Drosophila melanogaster: one gene and its partner. The protein of the gene in region 2 purifies or fractionates together with the protein of the main gene of each other region. This does not show direct contact. Each region holds a gene or a part of one and is shown on either strand. Other genes may lie near its edges.

What was found.
Region 1: the proteins of CG9123 (region 2) and CG4565 purify together in Drosophila melanogaster (affinity purification with mass spectrometry, with the first as the bait; one large-scale study listed by BioGRID). This does not show direct contact.

Annotation. Positions count from the first base shown.
Region 1 is NT_033777.3:10,850,917-10,854,390, reverse strand, and holds CG4565 (uncharacterized protein), read right to left. Parts: upstream 1,668-3,474; 5' UTR 1,650-1,667; coding exon 995-1,649; exon of another isoform or gene 940-994; coding exon 785-939; 3' UTR 747-784; downstream 1-746. Other genes in the region: CG6567 (uncharacterized protein), read left to right, coding at 30-737; CG42394 (uncharacterized protein), read right to left, coding at 2,908-3,106.
Region 2 is NC_004354.4:15,339,786-15,344,329, reverse strand, and holds CG9123 (uncharacterized protein), read left to right. Parts: upstream 1-2,212; 5' UTR 2,213-2,349; coding exon 2,350-3,108; intron 3,109-3,167; coding exon 3,168-3,244; intron 3,245-3,338; coding exon 3,339-3,807; 3' UTR 3,808-3,957; downstream 3,958-4,544. Other genes in the region: CG12608 (uncharacterized protein), read left to right, coding at 1-597, 657-733, 828-1,323; HDAC6 (histone deacetylase 6), read right to left, coding at 4,315-4,544.

The DNA of each region.
Region 1 (3,474 bases), on a different chromosome or scaffold from region 2:
ATATTTAGTTGATCAAAGGTGAATTAAAGATGAAGCCAGCCTTGACAACGGTCAATGCCACTGGCAAACACACAGCCTCCGTGATATTCTTCCACGGATCCGGCGACACCGGCCCCAATGTTCTGGAATGGGTGCGCTTCCTTATCGGCCGGAATCTGGAGTACCCGCACATAAAGATAATATATCCCACGGCTCCCAAACAGAAGTACACCCCGCTGGACGGGGAACTATCCAACGTGTGGTTTGACCGCAAGTCCGTGAACATTGCCGCATCGGAAAGCAAGAAGAGCATGTCCCAGTGTTATGATGCGGTCAATCAGCTGATCGACGAGGAGGTGGCCAGCGGCATACCGCTGAACAGGATCGTTGTGGGCGGATTCTCGATGGGCGGAGCCTTGGCTCTGCACACGGGCTACCATTTGAGACGCAGCTTGGCCGGCGTATTCGCACATTCCTCGTTCCTGAACCGCGGCTCCGTTGTCTATGATTCCCTGGCCAACGGCAAAGACGAATCTTTTCCCGAGCTGCGAATGTATCACGGGGAACGCGATACTCTGGTACCTAAGGACTGGGGTCTGGAAACCTTCGAGAACCTAACGAAACTGGGTGTCAAGGGCACATTTCATCCATTGAGGAACACACTGCACGAACTGAAAACTGCCTCCATCACGGATCTGCAGCAATGGATTTATGAAAAACTACCTCCGCTGGAAAACCAAGTACAGAACAAACTCTGAGTGGCAAGTACTTACATATACTTAGGTAAACTTTAATAGTAATTTATTTATTCTTCTATTTCAGTATTTGGCATGAAACCCGTGCATTTTGAAGCACCACAGAGGCAAGTCTTTCCACCTGTCATCTTTTTATACTGCCCTTCTCCGCCATAATGAAAGCATAACTCCTCCTTGGCCGCAATATCCCTTGCTGCGAAAATACCTAAAAAATTACACATGACGAGAGAAGTCGGATCAGAATTAGCAATAAAACTTGCCTATTTTTGGTATGGGACAGTCTATTCGTACAGCTGCTATATGACAGTTCGGTTCGCAGCTGTGGTTCAGGTAGCGTCCGATGTTTCCACGTCTTGATGGATCAACGATGGTCACCTGTTGCTTCTTGTCGCTAGTGTATTCATTAAGCACCAGGATATAGTTCATCAGGCCTAGTTTTTCATTATCATGCAAGCGGCTTCTTGCCTCGGGAACCGTTAAAAGTTCTCCGGCATATTCGCAAATGTATCCTCCTTTTGTAATTTTCGCTGTAGTCCGTAGTCCTTTGGATCCGTACACGGGCGAATCGAATATTTCCAAATGTTTCCTCGGGCCTGAGTACACAAGCCGATTGGAGCACGTGTTTCTACAGCATTTGCACATGTCATTGCACTCAATGACAGGATTTGCGGAATTCCGAAGAATTAATTCGCTGCCATCTTCTGTGAACTCATATTGGCCTCCATGTGCACAGACTTCGCTGTTTTCGCAGGCTCCTTTGCAGTGACAGGGGTTCAAAAGAACAGAATTGTACTCGTCCGCCAAGAATTTGAATTCTTTACTTCCATCGCTGGGCATCAACACAGATTCCAATATGTAATCGAGTCCATCTGGGTGCTCATAGTCGTCATTCGGAGCTGTTTCAGATTCGTCCATTTTTAAAGTTTGTTTACATTACATTCTAGTACGAGAATTGATTCCCCATTTAATGGATGTTGCGCTTTCTGAAGAATATTACACTTTATTGCCTCGGTCACACTCTGAATTTAAAAATGTTCCCTTATTCGGAAGAAAATTGTTTATTTTTTATGATGCAACACATTTGTATATCCTTGCAGTTCCAGTTCGACCGTTTTGCTGTAAGCGTTACCAGACTTTTTGTAGAAAGTATCTGCCTTGTGATGAGCGCCCATATTTCAGATTTCCCCTGCATGGTGAGTTGTCACCGCTCCACCGTGGTGGATTTCCCACTCCTCCCCCAGCCAGTTGGGTTTCCATTTCGGAGCGATGAAGGGGCTGATTTGGATCCAATCGAAGTTGTCGAACGATTGGCAGCACGTCTGAACTTTATGGGAGCCTGGTAGAAGTTCATCGAGTCGATGGCTTCGAAATGGTTCTGAATATATCGATTTTATTGGGCATTGGACGCTGGGCGGAGGGGCATCTTTCGCATTACAAGGCCATGGTACTGGCACATTAGAAAAAATGGGTATTTATGCCAGTGTGATTAATTATTTTTTCCCATTTTCGTGGTACTTTTTTGTTATTTATATATCAATTTATTTATTTAGTTATTTATCAATTTTTGGCTTAAGACAGATTCTAGTTTCTAGGAATTTTTGAAGCACTTCCTGTTGTTCGTAATCATCAAAAAATATTGAAAATTGTTTTTTCTGGAAGCTTTATTTCCGCCTCAAGCAAACATTTTTTTTAATTTCAAGGCCATAACAAAAATCTTGATAATTAAAAACGTGAAGAAAAATACGTTAGTTTTTATGTAAATACCCATTAATTATATTATTTCCAAATATTTCCAAATTGAATAGAATTGGTATATTAATGTTAAAAACATTTTTTTATTTCATTTTTTAAAGTAGTATAATCTGTCTCTGAACATCATAAATATTTATTTATAAAATCTTTTGCGTTAAAACATCTTTTGCATTAGATGGAGATTCACAATATTATTTAGAAGGTGTTGTAATATTTATTTGTACTGATAATTAAACAGTTTAACAATTATCCTCTTCTAAAAGGCTCCAGCGGTGTTCGTTTCTGTAAATTGGTGGCAATTAATTTGGATGAATGGAATTATGCAAAGCGTGGAACATTTTTCGCTGTGTACTAATCTGAAATTCTAGTTTATTGAATGCCTATGAATCTTCTAGTTCAATTTGTTATCTTTTTACCATGCTCAATTTAATTTGCTTATGACATCCTTAATTTTGCCATATCCCGACTGTACACTTTCGGCTAATTTATTGGTGAACTTGGTAACCTCATCCTCCGGTTCGTAGTAGACAAGAAAGTAGACGGCCAATCCGACCACAATGCCGACCACCAGCAATCCACTGATGATTGAAACAAGCACACTAATTGCACAACTGCAGCAGCTGGAAATGTTAAGAGTAAATAAGTTATTATAATAAGTTATAAGTTATTATTATTGGTTATCATAATGTACTTAACTACTCGCATTACCCCCAAAGGATGGGGCAAAGTCCTTTTCTCATAGAAATGATGCAATACTTTCAAATTAATTACGCATGAAAAGTTGTCTAATAAAAATGCATCCCCAAATTACAGTAGTAGATAAATTTCCACCCTATCAGTGAGTTAACAACTACGTTTTGAGGGCCAAGAGCTGGCATTCCAACGGAAATGCGAAACCGGCGCGCCGTGCTGCCGGTTGTTGGCTAAAACCGAATGGGGCGGGATATGGAGATTCCTGAGGGTAGATATGTATATGTATTTAAGGAAT
Region 2 (4,544 bases):
GTGCAGTGGCCTTGGGTGGCCAGTGGCGGTACCGACGACAGGATCTTCGTCTACGACATGCGCACGCGGAAACAGTCGCAGATCATACTCTCGCACGCCGGAAGAGTGAACACACTGAAATTCACACCTGACCTGTCGCACTTGCTCTCCGGGAGCGACGATGGCCATATGATCGCCACACGCGTGGGCAGCTGGACCAAAGAGGGTGATTGGCAGAAGGCCCATGCCGGACAGGCCGTCACCCACATCAGTTGCCATCCCAGCAGCAAGTTGGCCTTATCTTTGGGCGGCGACCAGGTGCTGAACACCTGGAATCTGGTCAATGGCCGCGTCGCCTACAAGACCAATTTAAAGAACAAGGCTACGCTGGGTCTCCAACCGGGCTGCTTGTCGTGGTCCAAGCAGGGCGATCACTTCACACTTAGCGGTCCATTGGTTCTGGAGATCTGGGGCATCGAGAACGCTCATGTTATGCGTCGCATTGAGATGCCGGCGAAACCCATTTGCATCACCTGGCTGGATGGGAACGAGTGTTTAACTGGCCTGGACAACGGCAACATTGCCTGGATTTCCCTCAAGGACGAGGATGATACACCAGTAAGAATTGCACTTTCTCAGCCTGTTATCTATGATACTTAAATGCGCTTTCTTTGCAGCCCACCTTCATTCTTGCACACGAGGCAAGGGTCAAGGCCATCGCCTATCTGAACGAATTACTGGCCACCGTCTCCAGGTGAGTTATTCTATAAAAATCCAAGCTACACCCAGATAACTAAGAACACCCATCACATTATTCGTTTTTATATATACAAATTTATCTTTTCCAGCGCTGGTGAAATCAAAGTCTGGAAGATCGACATGGAAACGCGCAAGCTGGAGGAGATTGCCAGCAGCTTCATGGACTGCCGACCCACCGACTTGGGCCTGCTGGATCTCCGCCAGTTCGGCAATGTCCAACCGGTGGAACAACGCATTAAAGTGGAGGAGAAACCAAAGGCGAAAGTGGAGTCTGACCAAAGTGCCAAGCCTGCAGCACCTCGGGGATTCGTGACCATCGAGTACGAGCAGGATAAGAATCTGGATGCCGAGAAGAAGAAGGGAAAGGGGAAGAAGAACAAGATACAGGCAAAGAAGGCGCAACAGAAAGCCGAGGAATCCTCAGAAGAAAGCAACTCATCGGAAGAAAAGGAGAGCGACGACTTCTCCGACAGCGACAGCGATGTCTCCAGTGATCACGGCCACCGGAAGAGGAAGCCAATGAAGCGCAAGCAGCAACCCACTCCAGCCTCCAAGGGGAAGGCAAAGCAGCAGAAAAAGAAGTAGTTTTTAGTAGCTAACGTTATGACTATCAATAAATATTGAGTTAATCTAGAGATATAGATAAAAAAACCATAGATGAACTGTCGATTTGGCTGGGATGAACAGAATTATGAATAAATACCTCTGAACTTAAGAAGTTCGATCTCATTAACGAAACTAGAAACTGTTTTTGAAAAAAAAAACTAAAAAAAACACTTAAATTAATTATTAGATCATTAGTTGAAATTGTTAAACAATTTGCATTTGTGTAAATGGTAGGGTGACTGGTGCTGGTAATATATTAAATGTTCTACTGTTTTGAACTAAGATAAAGTTAGATAAAAGCAAATCACACGGCAGATTTTTGGTTAAAACCCGAAGATACATTGCTAAAACGTAATTTTCGCATGGATTTCAATTCAGTAAGGATTCAATAAAAATACTTTTCAAAAAACTCAATAAACACAAGATACTAAATGCACATAAATCATTAAGCAAATTGGTCAAAATAATAGCACTTCCTGTAAAGTATTTCCTGATTTTTTTCAGATTTATAGGGTATTTCACTATTTGCATTTCAAACAACTTTCCCGTTTAAATAAAATAGTAAATACGATATTGAATATATAACATGAGACATAAAACCATTTTTCAAATTATTTATATGTTTCGATGTTTTTGGCGAAAAACATAGATGTTGTTATAAAATATAAACAATCTTTTTTATCTTTAATCTTTTTCGATCATTGATCTTTTTTATTTAAGGATTATTTTTTAATATTTTAAATAAAAAGGCAGTATTTGGTGACAACCTTTTCATCCTCCAGCAATTGTTCTTAACATTCCTAGAAAAACATCGATGTTTCTGATATTTCGAAAACATCGATGTCATCGATGTTGGCGTAAAAAGTTTCTCCGCCTCTAACTTCGAATAGTCCTTGCCGCTGGAACACGTTTTGACAGCAGAAATAAATTCTTGAATAGAATTTAGTGACTTATTCGACAAATCCATTTAATTTTCCATTTCCATTTTCATTTCAAACCGCTGCCATGCCGCCGGAAATGGAGATCATAGAGGCCACCAACGAGGAGCTCCTGCTGGGCTTCAAGCTCATCAAATCGCCGACTGACGGCTTCACCGATTCCGTCAAATTCGAGCTGAAACAGACTTTTGCAGACAGCTCCTATGCAAGATCCATTACATCGCTGGCCGTGCAGTGGCCTTGGGTGGCCAGTGGCGGTACCGACGGCAGGATCTTCGTCTACGACATGCGCACGCGGAAACAGTCGCAGATCATACTCTCGCACGCCGGAAGAGTGAACACACTGAAATTCACGCCTGACCTGTCGCTCTTGCTCTCCGGGAGCGATGATGGCCATATGATCGCCACACGCGTGGGCAGCTGGACCAAAGAGTATGATTGGCAGAAGGCCCATGCCGGCCAGGCCGTCACCCATGTCAGTTGCCATCCCAGCAGCAAGTTGGCCTTATCTTTGGGCGGCGACCAGGTGCTGAACACCTGGAATCTGGTCAATGGCTGCGTCGCCCACAAGACCAATTTAAAGAACAAGGCTACGCTGGATTTCCAAACGGGCTGTTTGTCGTGGTCCAAGCAGGGCGATCACTTCACACTGAGCGGTCCATTGGTTCTGGAGATCTGGGGCATCGAGAACGCCCATGTTATGCGTCGCATTGAGATGCCGTCGAAACCCATTTGCATCACCTGGCTGGATGGGAACGAGTGTTTAACTGGCCTGGACAACGGCAACATTGCCTGGATTTCCCTCAAGGACGAGGATGATACACCAGTAAGAATTGCACTTTCTCAGCCTGTTATCTATGATACTTAAATGCGCTTTCTTTGCAGCCCACCTTCATTCTTGCACACGAGGTAAGGGTCAAGGCCATCGCCTATCTGAACGAATTCCTGGCCACCGTCTCCATGTGAGTTATTCTATAAAAATCCAAGCTACACCCAGATAACTAAGAACACCCATCACATTATTCGTTTTTATATATACAAATTTATCTTTTCCAGCGCTGGTCAAATCAAAGTCTGGAAGATCGACATGGAAACGCGCAAGCTGGAGGAGATTGCCCGCAGCTTCATGGACTGCCGACCCACCGACTTGGGCCTGCTGGATCTCCGCCAGTTCGGCAACGTCCGACCGGTGGAACAACGCACCAAAGTGGAGGAGAAACCAAAGGCGAAAGTGGAGTCTGACCAAAGTGCCAAGCCGGCAGCACCTCGGGGATTCGTGACCATCGAGTACGAGCAGGATAAGAAACTGGATGCCGAGAAGAAGAAGGAAAAGAAGAAGAACAAGAAAGACGAGGAATCCTCAGAAGAAAGCAACTCATCGGAAGACAAGGAGAACGACGACTTCTCCGACAGCGACAGCGATGTCTCCAGTGATCACGGCCACCGGAAGAGGAAGCCAATGAAGCGCGAGCAGCAACCCACTCCAGCTTCTAAGGGGAAGGCAAAGCAGCAGAAAAAGAAGTAATTTTTAGTAGCCAACGTTATGACTCAACAAATATTGAGTTAATCTAGAAATATAGATTAAATAAAACCGTGGATGAACTGTCGATTTGGCTGGGATGAACAGAATTATGAATAAATACCTCTGAACTTAAGAAGTTCGATCTCATTAACGAAACTAGAAACTGTATTCGAAAATAAACTCAAAAAACACTTGAATTATTTATTAGATCATTAGTTGATAACTTTAACAATTTGCATTTGTATAAATGGTATGGTGACTGGTGCCAGGATCTCCAGGGGATGACCGACCGGCTGCCAGTTGCAGCAGTTTTCAGATCAGTTGTGGGTGCGGGCTAGAGGATTGGATATGGGGTGCTCAGTGGGCCAGGAAGTAGTGCAACAGGTTAAGGTAAATGCGCTCCAGCAGCGGCCAGAGGTGCTCGGCCAGGAAATGGATTAGGTGCCTTAGTGGCGGGCAGAGCGCGCACAAGTAGTCCGTGAGGGCGTCCAGCACGCGGATGGCTAAGGGTCAGTTGTTGCGCTCCAGTCGCAGGCAAATGCTGCTACCGGCGCCATTATCATCATCGTCATCCTCATCTCGCCCATCGGGCCCCGTCGCATAGCAGCCATCCTCGCGCCACGCACACCCATGTGTCCAGGCCATCGGTTCCTGGAACTTGTCCTCGTGCAGCGGATTGAGGTAGGCATACAGGCGGGGATGGTCCACGTACGCGGAGCACGCGTAGCACCACACAGACA